Linked DNA regions of Arabidopsis thaliana. The protein of the gene in region 1 interacts with the protein of each later gene in a pairwise test. Each region holds a gene or a part of one and is shown on either strand. Other genes may lie near its edges.

What was found. The genes of interacting proteins can lie anywhere in the genome.
Region 2: the proteins of AT3G58730 (region 1) and AT2G44360 interact in a two-hybrid assay, tested with the Arabidopsis thaliana proteins (one large-scale study listed by BioGRID).

The regions. Positions count from the first base shown.
Region 1 is NC_003074.8:21,717,609-21,721,873, forward strand, and holds AT3G58730 (vacuolar ATP synthase subunit D (VATD) / V-ATPase D subunit / vacuolar proton pump D subunit (VATPD)), read right to left. Parts: upstream 2,446-4,265; 5' UTR 2,196-2,445; intron 1,682-2,195; 5' UTR 1,673-1,681; coding exon 887-1,672; 3' UTR 580-886; downstream 1-579. Other genes in the region: AT3G58720 (RING/U-box superfamily protein), read right to left, coding at 22-89, 169-300; CSY1 (citrate synthase 1), read right to left, coding at 3,458-3,517, 3,772-3,883, 3,997-4,094, 4,195-4,265. UniProt on the Arabidopsis thaliana protein: Subunit of the peripheral V1 complex of vacuolar ATPase. V-ATPase is responsible for acidifying a variety of intracellular compartments in eukaryotic cells, thus providing most of the energy required for transport processes in the vacuolar system.
Region 2 is NC_003071.7:18,320,084-18,323,442, reverse strand, and holds AT2G44360 (ecotropic viral integration site protein), read left to right. Parts: upstream 1-1,746; 5' UTR 1,747-1,858; coding exon 1,859-1,918; intron 1,919-2,156; coding exon 2,157-2,264; intron 2,265-2,348; coding exon 2,349-2,588; 3' UTR 2,589-2,711; downstream 2,712-3,359. Other genes in the region: AT2G44370 (Cysteine/Histidine-rich C1 domain family protein), read left to right, coding at 589-1,341; ATCS (Citrate synthase family protein), read right to left, coding at 2,919-3,017, 3,115-3,166, 3,244-3,317.

The DNA of each region.
Region 1 (4,265 bases):
GAGGATGATGATTTTTAGTACACGGTTGATGAAATCGATGTTCTTGAGTAAGCGGATATGGGATCATCGATCAAGTGTCTGTTAACTATCTGAAAGAGAATATTAAAACATAAGGAGGCTAAAACATTCCTAGGTGTATATCTATGACAAGACGAAAAGTTGATTTACTGAATTACTCCTAGACCAAGCATTCCGCGAAGAGAAAGCAGGAACTCGCCAACCCGACGATCGTGTATCCGAATCATAACTATAATTGGGTTGATTTGGAACAGAGGAATAGCCATTTCTGTTGTTGTTCATAGCTGAGAAGGAATGGCTTTCTTGTTACATATTAGGGATATGATAAGTTTTTGTATTAATGCAGTTTATATTCCTTTTCTTGCTTTGAGTTATTCTTTCTCCACTTATATGATTCTCTAAAAGCTGATAAATTAAGCAACGAATCTGTCCTAGTATGTGATGCCATGCCTTGTCTCCTGAACAAGTATCATACGCTTCACGAATGCTTTGTCACTTTATTGATCTAACTTGAAATGGATTCACAAAATTCCTTCCCTTCTCATTCTGCTATGCTTAACCCGGCCACCAATAATTATATCCAAAAGTAACTTTACTCGAGAAAGCACAAGAAAGATTCTACATTTGTTTGGTCTTGAAACAGGGGAATTATAATTACTCAAAACAGTAATAATCACAAATCTCTCGAAAAATTTTATATCAAAGCACAATCCAAGATGATACAGTATTTCATCTACATCAAATCCATTTTATTTGAAGAAACATAAGTCTGATGAAGAGAGTAATAACAGCGCGAAGGCGAAAATAGAAACCGAGCAAACACAGAAGGCACAAAGAGAGAGAGAGAGAGAGAGAGAGAGCCCACACCTCAGAAAATAATGTCTGAATCCTTCTCAGCACCACCAACAAGGAAGTTACGAGCAGCGTTTATCGAAATCCCTCTCTGCATAGAGATGTCTTCAAGAACCATTTCCTCAGCAAACTCCTTAGCATTAGCTGCCTGTCGTTCGACTTCCCTCCTCTTGTATCCCTGAATCTTCTTCAACCTGAAGAAATCCTCTCTCTCAAGCTCATCAAGCTCTCCCTTGATGTAACTGATTGTATTCTCCAGCTTTGGTTTCACCACATTCTCCAGAGCGTTGACCCTACGGTTAGTCGTCTTGATTGCTTCATCAAGGGTCAAGAAAGAAGTCTGGAGAGAAGCAAGCTCAACTAGAACTTCAATGGCTTTCACATAAGCAACACGGCAAGCTCGGACCTGTTGACCACCTCTAGCTAAACCGGTCAAGTCATTCTTGGTCTCACCTTCAGAGAAGTGATCAAACTTAGGCAGCTTCACTCCAGCGATATTCTCTGTCCGAGAACGAACCTTCAAAGTAGCTTCTTTAACGTTCTCGAGGACAACATGTTTGACATTGTCACCAGCAACATACTTTACTTCGGTAAGAGCAAAAGACGATGTCTTCATCATATCTCCCATAGACTCCTTAGCTGTAACGATTTTCTTGAGAAGTGCCCTAAACTGAACAGTTAAAGCATCACTCTTTTTCTTGAGGAGAGCATGACCTCTTGTAGCGCCAACAAGACGAGCTTTCATAACCCCGAGCATAGTAACAGTGGGAACCACATTCAAACGCGCGTTTTGGCCAGCCATATTTCAAAACTACAGCAAATGAAAGAGATGGGATTAAACAAGGACACAAACAGACTTACTCTATTGACAGAAGCCAACAACAGAAGATGATTTTTCGATGATGCGAAACAATACTTGCATCATTGAGGAAAGAGATCAACATGGAAATCTCGTAAATTCTGGTTTACTAATTATAATTGAACAAACACGCAAAGATTCTTAAGTTTCACTAGGAAAATCTTAGGCTAATGAACCAAGCACCCAATCATTATCTCGAACGATCCATACAGAGATTCATCAGATTATCCATTTTTTGTTCCCAGATTGAATCAAAGTCTACGAATTTTCTAATTGAATCAAAGTCTACGACTTTAGGATAGATCGTTTCCCAGAAGATGAAATCTAGATCACAGAACACACCTAATCAATTGGACTCAGAATTGAGCAGTCAGGTTATATGGATACACGCCTAAATTTCCCACCAGATTCAATTGTTTCAAACCAAACTAAGAGAAGAAAAGAGTGAGATTTGGGATTGACATACCTGGGCCTCTCAAAAGGTGAATTCTTAACAAGTAAATCACTGAAATTAGATTGGAAGAAGCCAAAGAGAGAAAGAGAGATAGGAAGACAATGAAAATTGATATTAATTCAGAACTGTCGACAGGGGTAAGAAGATCGTATTCGACCTCGTCGCTGTGATCGTGGAGAAGAAAGAAATGGGCTAATTGTGTAATTAACCGTAAATATAAAGGGCTTATTTTTTACAAATAAAATAAATACGTATACAGCTCATCACGTATGGTGGGGCCTACTTTCGTGTCCTAAATCTGAGACCCATCACTTTCGTCTTTAGACGCGGTGAACTATATATCTCACGTTCTTATTTAGTGCTTAGGACAAAAACAAAACTCGGCCAAATACATTTTTTCATTTCCAAGTTTCAGGGATGAAATCTTGTTGTATAGAGTTTCCAAATGGTTGAGGAGAAAATAATCTCTCATTCAACACTATATTGTATGACATTTTTTTAAAAGGATATGATTTGGTGGTTAACTAATTATTCCGAATCAATGTGTGATATATAAAAAATCTTAGAACTAAAGCAATGTGTTATATTAACTAAAGAAGAATAAGAAGATCTTCTTTTAGAACTTTCCTCACAAAAGGCACAATATCTATCAAAAGTTATGTCTTAATTTCCTATACCAACTTAATTATTAGATGGAATTGATTATAGAACCACTATACTTAAGATATGTTTTAAATCATAAATTTTAAAATAACAGACAAACAAATGAAAAACAAATTCAATAGTATGTAGATTATTGAGTGTTTTAACTATAAGGAGAAAGAAAACAACACACATTGTTGAGAAGACCCTTTTGGTTTTCGTCATTATTGCTGCATATATGTTCAATTACCAATCTCATCTTGATTTGTTGTCTACTATCTTCTTACTGTTTCGGTTATATTTAATTTAGATTTGAACTGTTTTTATCACTTTATGATTATTGTTCAACATCATATTCTTAAAAACATGCTATAATACACAAATATTTTTATTTTATTTTGACAACTTATACATACATAGACACACACACATGTATTACTAACTCGAGGTCGGATGGGGTTTACCCAAACTATATTTTATATAAGCATATATATTCTTTATATATATTTGTATATTCGCTTGGCTTTCCGAGTCAAATTTCATATTAGTAGTATAGGAACGAGACTTGACCCAGCTAACGCCTTCTTGATGCATTCGAAATGGAAACTTGACCCAACTGATCCAAATCCGAATCACAGCTTGGTTCTTTCTCTCACTGTCTCGTAATGCCTTATCCCCGCTCCAGTATAGACCTGTGCCAAAAAAAACTTTTGATCTATTCAAAAACTGCATATATCCATTAAAAATTGTATTACTCATGAGCCAAAAAAAGAAGAAGGTTCAAGTCATTAATATATCCAAGAGTGTATGTATCTATGCATAATGTATAATCTCATGAGCAAAAAAGAAAACTTAATTACTCATTGATCTATCAAAAAGTGTCTTTATTAGCCATGAGCCAATGTTATCTAAACAAAGTCACTTATATATTAAAGGTGTATTTTACCTGTTGGGGTCTCATGATCTTTGTGTCAGGATCATCTAAAGACTCACGCCAGTGTGACAAGTATCCAGCGATACGTGATACTGCGGTGAATGATGATGGGATTCCCATTGCCCTGTGTTTTGGCCCATTTCAGTTACCAACAAAAAAGATTCAAATAAAGAAAGAACTCAATGGTTACAACAACTCATTAGTCAGAATTTGTTAGATAACTAATCAATGTCTTACCTATTGATTAATCCAGAGTAGAAATCAACATTTGGGTACAGCTTTCTCTTAACAAAATATTCATCAGAAAGTGCCGCCTTCTCTAGAGCATCTCCTACCTGAAAACATTATTTATACACCAAATATTTTCTTAAACCAAATTCATCATACATATGAAGGATTCAACAAGGAAACGTGAGCAACAAGAATACAGAGTACCTCAACCAGAGGATCCCTTCCAAGAATGGAGAACACTTCATCCGCCAGTTTCTTAACGACTTTTCCTCTGG
Region 2 (3,359 bases), on another chromosome or scaffold:
CTGTACCCTAATATAGAAGTTAATTATAGATGACGTTATATACATTTTCCACATAATAAAATCGTAATTTCGAGTTTGTTTCTTTAGATTACTTGAAGACAATATTATGCATTAACTAGAGACCCAGCGTAATTGACCTCATATCCTTCATTATGTCAACTCTATTGTTCATATATATGATAATTCAAAAGTTTATAATACTATTTAATTACAATTAGCTATTGAATCAGTTTATAATTTATAGGTTACAATAAAACTAGACGGCGTGATGGATGGGATCATGAAGAATAATTCCACCACTTGACTTTGAATTCCAAATGAGAATCAATCTTGTATATATCTCACCATCATCAAAGCGCGTACTGACATTTTTGTCCCAATATAGTTAGTATATAAGCTACACAACTTGGTAAAATAGTCAAACCAAAACACATCACTACTTCACCCTAAAGAAGACTCATTATCAAAAGTCGTCTTACTATTTTTACTATAAATATATACTCTCAAATCCCTTAGCTTAATAAGAATCACGAAAACAATAACAAACACACAAAAAGAAGAAGAAAGAAGAAGAAGATATTAGCCATCATGGCCGCAAGAAAACCGTCGGTGAGGCATCCGAGCCACAACCATCCATTGCGCAGTCACAAGGCCCAAGTTGAAGAAGAGATCATTTGCTCTGGTTGCGACCTCGACCTGATAGGTGCAGCTTTCAAATGCACAAAGTCAGAATGCGATTACTTCTTGCACAAGTCATGTTTTGAGCTTCCACGTGAGACTCGTCACAAGGCTCACCCGGATCACCCTTTGATACTGCTGTATTCCCCACCTTACGAGTCAACTTACACGTGTGATGCGTGCGGTGAGTATGGATCCGGATTCACTTACAACTGCTCTATCTGCCAGTACGATGTTCATGTTGGATGTGTGTCCATGCCTGAGTCCGTGGAGCGTGAAGGACACGCACATCCACTCACATTGCTCTACCGTTCTCCTTACCAGAACGGTTTGATCTTTAACTGTGATGTTTGCCAAGAGACTGTTCCAGATAATCTCTGGTCGTATTATTGCAAGGAATGTGATTATGGCACGCATTTACATTCTTGCGCGGTAGAGGAAGAAGAAGCAGAAGAAGAAGAGCCAAAAAGAGGAGGAGGAAGTGCAAGAGGAAACACAAAGAGTGGTGGGAATAAAGGAGGAAGGGGCTCAGCGGCATCGGAGTTAGCTGCAATGTTGGAAGCTCAAAGAGAGATGGAGAAGATGCAGATAGAGTTACATATGGAGATGCAAAGAGCTAAGATTGCTAAGAAAGCGAGAAAGGCTTGTCTCAAGTTGATCTAAAAACTTGTTTACGTTTCTATCAAGTTATCTCGGATTCTTAATGCTTTGAAACTCTTTTGTTGTTTGGACGTTCTTTTTTCATTGAATTGTTGTTGCAAGCTTTCATGTTTGTTAATTATTTTCCTTTTGAATAAAAAGCCTTTTGACTTTATTTGTTCTAATCATTACATAAAGTTGAAAATTACCACTAATCGATGATAAACATTGACCTTCAGAAACCCAAACAGAACCAAAAAAAGATTTGTATCATTATTTAATTGTTGATCCGCCGAATAGCAAAAAGTCAAAAACCACGTCAGAGATACAAAACAAACAATTAAAAAAACACTATCGCGTGAGATTCACACGCGCCGCTTCGTTGATTCGTCGTCTGTTTACCCAAACTAGTAGTATCAGATTTAAATCACACGATCACACGAAGGAATCATCATCATCATCAGAAATTCAGAATTCAGGAGCAGTAATTAAAATTGATTATTTTGATTATAAAATAACTCAAGAGAGATCACAGAGAGATATGGCGGAGGGTAAACCCGACGAGCAGCTCTTTCAGCTTCTTTCGGGTCTTCTTCAACAGGTTTCGCTTTTCTTTTTAATTCGTTAACGATCTGTTGAAATTCGTTTCCTCTTGATTTTGATTTTCGTTTCAATTACGAGCCGCTTCTATTCGTCAAATTTCCCTTTTTCTGTCTAATTCGTCAAAAAAATAAAAGGGCAAGAGCTTTTTGATATTGTTGTTAATGGACACTAATTGTTACTACAACATTGACAAATACAGATGATTTTGTTGCCTACTGATGATTTTTGTTTCTTAGGTAGAATCATTGACAAATACAGAAGAGGTTGAGCTACGTTCTAAGATTGAAGCTCTTGGTTTAGAAGTCACTAAAGTGCCATCAAAGTCTGCTCAACACCTCAATGAGGTCTGTATCCTGTGTTCACTCATATATCTGGTACACATTGTAATGTAAATCTGAGGCTTTGTGTGTGATTGTTTGTGTTTTCAGGTGGAGATAGCTAAGGAATTGGACAAGTTATCAGCAAAGTTAGATGATGTGGATGAGATGATATCATCAGCTATAGCTTCTGATCCACAGGTTCAGACGCTTCTTAGCGGCACAGCTGATGTTTGGATGCCGGTTATCACTGCCGGCGCCGAAGAGAGACTCAACTTCACAGCCTCTCTTGCTGATGATGATGACCTTTCTAACAAGGAGACTACTACCGACAATACCAGCAGCTCTTAATCCCATTTTCTTTTTGATAAACTCATGTCGAAGTTTTCTATTTTGCAGTCTTGTTTCTTTTATGTATATCAAAACCAAGATAAGCTTTAATTCATGAGTGATATTGATGTTTGATTTTTACGCAAACTGAATACAACTGTTTATTTATTATCACGAGTTTCCCGGAAATGCAAATTTGCACCAAGCATGTGTTTCTCAGGAACAATTTCTACATGAACAAATGTTTCTTCTGTCAATAGAAGGTAAAAACAAAAAAAGCTATCCAGTGTGGAAGAGAATGACTTTTGTTGAAACACGAGAGAGTGCGACAACTCAGGACTCGGTGGTGACTTAAGCAGATGAAGCTTTCTTACAATGGGCTTCAAGCCAGTCCATGGTAACACTCTTTGGCCTCTCAAGTGCAAGTCCAAGAGCTCGGTCCCATATAAGCTGTGAATTAAACACAAATGAGAATGGAGAGCATATGAGTTCTGTTTTAAATGTTATGTAGTAACAAAGGCGTAATGTGTAAATATATATATGTTACCTGAGAGCAGATGCCAAGACTCCTTGAAACACCAAAGAGCACGGTGTAGTACCTATAAAACGCACAGATATTATATTTGAGTGCTATCCTAAGGCTCAATGATACTTGAAGGAGGTGTCTACTTCTTACCTTGCTTCGGTTAGACCATAGTGGTTCAGCAAGACCCCACTGTGAGCATCAACATTTGGCCACGGGTTCTTCACCTGTAACAAGCCATCATCGGATTCGCAAGTAAATAAAAAATT